Regions from separate parts of the Mus musculus genome. Here region 2 is reported to be linked to region 1. The links are microRNA targets in miRTarBase. Many come from high-throughput screens and were not tested one by one. Region 1 holds a microRNA gene; the other region holds the end of a gene's coding sequence.
What was found. The annotated mature microRNA mmu-miR-1949 reads CUAUACCAGGAUGUCAGCAUAGUU and lies in region 1 at 1,291-1,314, opposite strand. An mRNA with a match to its seed (bases 2 to 7 or 8) in the 3' UTR can be bound and repressed. Matches are read on the target gene's strand: a 7mer-m8 pairs with bases 2 to 8, a 7mer-A1 pairs with bases 2 to 7 and ends in A, and an 8mer does both.

Region 2: miRTarBase lists Rbms3 as a target of mmu-miR-1949. Seed matches in the 3' UTR shown: 7mer-A1 at 2,468-2,474.

What each region holds. Positions count from the first base shown.
Region 1 is chr18:35,552,522-35,555,925 of GRCm38, reverse strand. It overlaps Mir1949 (microRNA 1949), which reads right to left and starts at 1,359; the gene lies at 1,290-1,359. It overlaps Snhg4 (small nucleolar RNA host gene 4), which reads right to left and starts at 2,516. Exons shown (of 4, transcript NR_038073.1): 1 at 2,457-2,516; 2 at 1,465-1,499.
Region 2 is chr9:116,575,900-116,579,303 of GRCm38, forward strand. It overlaps Rbms3 (RNA binding motif, single stranded interacting protein), which reads right to left. Exons shown (of 15, transcript NM_001172123.1): 15 at 1-2,803. The coding sequence ends at 2,797. Among named protein-coding and RNA genes, the nearest start is that of Gm39449, 52 kb to the left of the region's middle.

The DNA of each region.
Region 1 (3,404 bases):
GTTTCTCTGTATCGCCCTGGCTGAAATTTTTTTTTAAAAGAATTTGATGGACAGGAAGGCAAGAGTTATGTTAACCTGGAAAGTTATGTTAACACTAGTGCATCAGAAGGATGCGCAAAGGTATGGCAGGCTCAGTGACCTATTGGAGGGTATTTTTAGGGCTAAGCTGGTGCCATTAAGGAACAGTAGTAAAGTAATTATGGGCCTCAATCAAAGAGCAGGTAGATAGAGTGGTAGAACTAGGAGTGGGTAATATGGGATAGTAACTTTCCTGTAAGAACTTGACTGGTTAGGGGGTGGGGGCGTTAGGTACTACACTGAGGAGCAAAAGGGATATTGATGTACATGGGAGGGCAATGATGAAGCTAAGGTGAGCAATGTAGAGGCTACTGATGGGAATGTCAGCAGATGCTCAACCTAGGGTGCTTGGTGGGCCTGGCAAGCGCTTTCACCCCCAAAAACATTCAGGGGGTCAGGTAAGAGACTTCTGGAACTGGTTAAGGAAGCCTGTGTATAGCTCAGCTACAACTATCCCTGAGCTACTCAAGTCCCGGGGCGTCCTGTTGGGTCGCCGAGGTAGGTGTTAAGTAAGGCAGCCTGGTTAGCACCCATGTCCACAGGGAAAACGGAAGGACACAGGTGGGGGCTGCCACCAACCCTTCAGGATATGAGGGAGGTAAAGGTTATGTCTCCCTGTGGAAACCAGGATGCTCTCACAAAAGCTAACTATGTTGGCTCTATTAAACACCAGATTCATTCAGTGATCACTACTTGCCTAAAATTGAGGCATTTCTTAGAAAATCATCATGAATAACAGAAAAGGGGGAGCCTAACTGCTCATTGTACTGTTTGACCTAAGCTAGTTCCCAGAACCCCATGGTCAATTAATATGCATAAATTTATTGACGAGCTAGAGAGCAGAATAGTAATAGAGATTGGGCATCTAGGTTGCCTGGACGGTCTGAAGGGGCCCTGCATACTACAACACCAGACTCAATATTCCCAACAGGGAGCTCACTAAAGGGGATCATGACTTAGCTTTTATTATTGTGGAGCGAGGAAACATCCTATTTTTAGTGAACGTGCAGTCTAGTAACTCCCTCCACTGCCTCAGGTCCGCTCCCAACCATTTACAGGCACTAAATCTTGACTTTTTTTTTTCCTATTTATTTCCCTCAGTGGCTTTTACTCAGTTCCATTTCCAAGTTGTGATTTAAGTAACCTCCATGTCGGAAGATCTGGACTTCAGGTTTCTTCCTGCAGAGCTTGCGCTTCTCTTCCTGGGTAAGCAACTATGCTGACATCCTGGTATAGTTAACAACAGAGGTGGCATGAACCAGGCCCAGAATGCCAACCAGCTATTGGCTGCTGTTCTCCCAGCAGTGTAACACTTGCCTAGGTACAAGGAAACCTAGGTAGCTGCCTACAGCTGGGGCAAACCGGAACTAGCCGAACTGTACTTACCAGGGCAGACATCGCCTCAAACTGGCAGCTGGCCACTATGAAATCAAAACATCCCAGATTAGAGTCAGCCTGTCGACACCTGTGCAATTAAGTTAAAAAACCATCTCCAGCCCTCAAACCCCCTTCACTTTGTTGGGCTGAGTCAAAGAAACAAGAGTAGAGAAACAGTGTGACTTTGGGAGCTCCACCCCCAAATAACCATTCCACTAGCTAAGTCCACTCCCTGGAGTTCTTATTTGTAGAACGGCATTAGCCATTACCCCTGTACATCAGGTAGATTGGACCACAGTGCACTGCTCTGGTGGCTGATTCCTGTAATCTTAACTTGTAGGAAGCCAAAACAGTAAGACTGCCTCCAGAACCAGCCATCCTGCACTTAAGAGAACCACTTTTAAAAATGACACTTTAGTAAAGATGGGGGGTGGGGGCTGACTAAATCTAGACAACAGGCTTAAATACGGGACATTTTTAAAGACAATAAAAGTTAACACTTCGAATAGTAATTGAATGTAGATGTAGTGTGAGGGAGCTTGTGCTTGAGGTTTGCATATCATTTTAACATATCTAAGGGCAAGTTATCCAAGTCCAAACTTCACCCCTAACCAATTCTGACCAATTTAATGGAACAGGAAAAGGAATACAGGACTCATGGTTTAGGTCTAAAAGCCCCTTCAGGGCGTGGGCTGAAGCAGATCTGGTTCTCCCCGGACACGTGTTCCACTGAAACCTTTCTCGGTCCTTGTCTGGGGCTCCGGAAACGCTTAAAGGAGCCAGATTCCAGGTGACTTCCTAGCTGGATAGGGGTACTGTACCTCACTGGCGGTGACTCTTCGGGCTATTCCCTTTAAGATGACCTCCAAGACCGGAGATAAAAAATTTAAAAAAAAAAAAACCCAATTCCTTTTCCTGCCCAGGCAGAAACCTTCTCGCCCCCGCTTCTCGCCTGGGCTAGTAAAACCTCCAGACCCCTTGCTCCTTGGGACCTCACTCACCCGCACGTGCTCGGAGCTCCGCAGGACACACCAACCTCGGCAGAGGCCGCGGTGGAAAGGGCAGCCGGGAGCCGGCGGGAGCCCCGCCCTGGGGCGGTTGCAGGGCGGAGCGATGAGTCCCGCCCAAGAGAGGCGGGACTAGAAACACACAAGGCTGACCAGGGAGGACAGCGACATCCCTATAAGAACAGACCTGGGTGTGAGAATTGGCTAGTTTCCTCACAAAGGCTACATTCCCTGAGCTCCCATCGGGTTCCTTAAGTATATGAGTCCTGGGTTTGCAGCTGCTAAATTTAAAGCCCCTTGTGTCCTAATGGGAGCCAGACCTACTGCCTACCTAGTGCTAGCGGTCGCGGTTTCTGCAGATCTAGCCCACGATTTTGCACCTCCACGTGCAGATCTTTCTGGCTTTCATCATCTGCGTTGTTAGTTGGTTAATGGAACTCCCACACATGCAGGTCGCTTGGTTATGTGCTCTGGGTCTTTTCTGGATGTTAGTTAGATTAGGCCGGTCAATGCTGTAGTCTAACCCTGCGGACCACAGCCTTGACGTCCTTCATTGAAAACCCTTAACTGAGTGGCAGCAGCTAAGACTGGCTTTCTCTGGCAGATTTGGGCTGCTTCAGTGACACAGCTAGCTAAAGAAGGCCATATCCTGGATCTAAGTATACACTTCTCTGTTACCAGGATTTCTTCTGAACACTAACGTTGCTGCCTTTGCCCTGTAGTGATTATGCTTCTATCCTGTTGAACAATTGTCCTGTTGTCCTGTTGATGCTGCCCAGGGCCCATAAGAGCAAGGCCCACCAATCGCAATTCCTGGATCTATTTTGTAACTCCTTCAGATATTGCTTTCTGACTCGCAGCCGAGGCTGTTGATTATGACACCTGTCAATAATGGTCAAGCAAGCCTCCTGGAATCAGCCACTGTCCTTGCCATCTGCCAAC
Region 2 (3,404 bases), not on the chromosome of region 1:
GGAGAAAGAGAAAGTTGGGTCTCAGTGAGTTTTCTGAGAGCCCCTGGAACTTGAGGGCTTGCTTTCCATAGACATGTTCAAGTCCACCCTTCCAACACACAGGGAGCTGACTGGTGTGACAGAAGGATGTAGGCATCTCAGGTTCCCTCCAAAGCAGGGAAAGACATTAGGATAAAGGCGAAGCCCACAAGGTCTCTGCAGTGTGATGCTGTCTCCTTGGATACTGTTCTGTAATTAGTTTGATGACCAACATACAAGATGACTTTCTGGGTTTGAGCTCTCAGTTCACAGGGTTGCAAAGAAGAGAAGGAGGGTCTAGTGAGACAGCAGAATATGGACCTGCAGACTCATTAGTTGTGGGGCCTAATGGGACTGTGATTTGCCTTACAAGTTACTTTGTTTCTGAAAGCCTACTCTCTTTTCCTCTCCAGCGGCTCGGTTTTGTGTCCTCCCTATGCACTCAGATGGAGTAACCTGCAGAAAAGAGCTTTGCCTACTTGATTCAAAGTTTCATTCAAAAGCAGTTCTTGGGAATGGTCCCATGAACGGAGTTCCAAGCTACTGCTTCTAACTTCCAGGAAAACAAGATCCGTTGATCCCAGATCTGATGAGTCAGAACAGTTAGGACTCTCTCACTAAGCCAATTTAGATCATTTTAAGCCAAGTTTTGCATTATTCTAAGTGCAAATATCTCCTTTGGTTTCGGTGCTGGATCAACCCCTAGTTCTTGTGGTTCTTGTTGAAAAAAATTTATTGATTGTCAACTAAGGTGTTAAGAGCTTGCCCCTACTGCACTCAAAGGAGTCTTAGATCTTAACGGCCCCACTTATCTTGGAGAATTAAACCAAAATTTAAAGAGGGCTGTGTTGTCTCTCCTGTCAGTATCAAGATATGAGAACACAGCAGGCAGAGGAGGTAAAAGAAAAACACTCCCTCCCCAAACACAGAATCAAAGCGCCTGTGTGAGGAGGGCTGATAACTAAACCAAGGTGAGAAGACAAAAATTGGTTACTGTCAGTGTTTGAAAGAAACATTGTTACCAATTCGTGAGAACTTCTCTGGGGACCACAACCCACAGCTCCGAACATCACAGCCTTTCTGACAAATGGCCTTTCAGACATCAGAAGCATCCTTCAGGAAGCATCCTTAGCCTGAAGTTCAGATGAGGGCATTTCAATCTCTTGAACAACTGACGGGGTGTATTGGTGGCCGTCGATCCACTGCTGAGAGCGCTGGTCAAGAGATAGCAAAGCTCACAGGACTTAAAGCCGCCTGCATCCATTCATCCACTGGGTCTCAGATTCTTCATGCTTAAACTGCTGAGCAGGGTAGGAACAAACTTCAACTATTGACAAATACACATTTTTAGAAAAAACAATGTTTTTTTTTTTCTTTTTTCTTTTTTTGTGGTATGTAACACACTAGTGGAAGGTAGTTTAAATGAAGTTAGAACTGGTCCGGCCATGTAGGTCAAACAAAACTTCAAAGAAAGAAAAGCAGTGTCTACCATCACGCCTGTAACAGGGTCTCACTTCATCTTTGGTATAAAATAGGCCATCCATAGGCTGCAATTGACCACAACTAAGAAAGACTACAGAAATTGTCAACAATTTCTCTATCTATTGCTTTTTTTTGTTTTTGTTTTGTTTTGTTTGTTTTTTTGTGTGTGTGTTTTTGTTTTATTTTTTATTTTTTTGCACTTTTTGACCATAAGCGTCTATCTACTTAAGTTTTGTTTTGAGTGCTCTTATGCTAGGTTTTGCAATGTGACAAGCAAAGCTGACTAAAACCTGACAAAGCTCATAGAAAAAACTGCAGATAAAAAGCACTGACGCTTTCGCTAGCAACCACGCTCTTGTAAATTAAAAAAAAAAAAATCTGCATTCTGCCCCCCAAACTTGCATTATTTCTAATGCAGTTGTTTTTAAAACCAACGTGAATAACTTTACCATAAAATGTCTTTTAGCCTTTTAGAGTGATTGTGTCAAAGTTCATGAGAAGTCCCAGCGTTTCCAAACTCTTGCGGTTGCCTTGGTTTCTTTTATCAACAAATTTTCTTCAAATGAAGAAAACACATTTTCCTTCAAACTGTACAGTTTTGTTTTTTTTTTTTTCTTTTTCTTTTCCACCCTAAAAACTCAGTCTCCATCTTCTATGTCAGTGAAGGCTGGCACAAAAACTCAATTCTTTCTTGATTTTTTTTTTTTAACAAGACGCTGAAAGCATGCCTCTGGAGCCTTTGACGTCCTTAAAAATTAAGGCAATTAAGATTCAAGATAAACCTTACCTAAATATTTCTAAGAAAACATAAAATATTTATATATATATAAAAAACCCAGGAGGTTCAAACAAGAAAAGAAAAGAAGAGGAAAAAAATAGCTTAATTACTGAGGAAAATAATTTTCTTAAACATCTGGTTGCCCAACTCTTGACATTGGTGTTTCTACTTTTTAAAAAACAAATCTACTTATACCTTCAGGCAAATTCTGTTTTTCCAAAGACAGCATCAACTTGTGATGTTTGCCATCCCCCACCCCTTTCTGGGATTTGTTTTTTCCCGTTAATTAAAAAAAAAAGACAAAAATAAGTGTTAGACCACACGGAGGAACCATTCGCACAGCACATAAAAATTTTGTTTTCTTTGAGTAAAATATAAAATAATAAAAAAAATAATAAAAATAAAAGAAGAAGAAAGCTTTCCCTTGGCGCCTGTGCAAACCGGAGGCCAACTAACTTCTTGCTCAGTGACGTTTCTTCATTGAAGGTAAAGGTTCAGGCAGACATCCTCACTTCTGTCTATGGTCTGCAAGACAAACAGGGAAGAGAGGTTATTACATCTGAGTTTTTCTTCCGTTGTTTCCTGGGACATCTTGTTAGAGGAGCCCAAGCTTTTCGTCATGCTAAAAGAAGCAGTGTATCAGGCATATTAACTAGCCTATGAGGGGGTTCAGTTCTGTTACCTTCTTATAAATTCCACACTTGAGCAAGAGTTTGCTCATGGCAAAACCGAAGTTGATGGACTTAGCTATTTTTAAAGATCTACTTATTTTGTTGTTGTGGGTATAAGTGCATGACTGTATTATGAAAATGTAGCATATGATTGCTGCACTGTCAGAGACCAGGAGAGGACATCAGACTGCTTTGAAGTGGAGTTAAAAGATGGTTGCAAACCACTGGACTGAGCTTGGGATCCTAATGGAGAAGTTGGAGAAGGGACTGAAGGAGCTGAGGGGGGTTTGCAGCCCCATGGAGGGAGCAACAGTGTCAACAGGCCAGAACCCCCAGAGCTCCCAGGGACTGGACCACCAACAACCAAAGAGTACACATGGAGGGACCCATGGCTCCAACTGCACTTGTGGCAGAGGATGGCCTTGTTGGCATCAGAGGGAGGAGAGGCCCTTGGG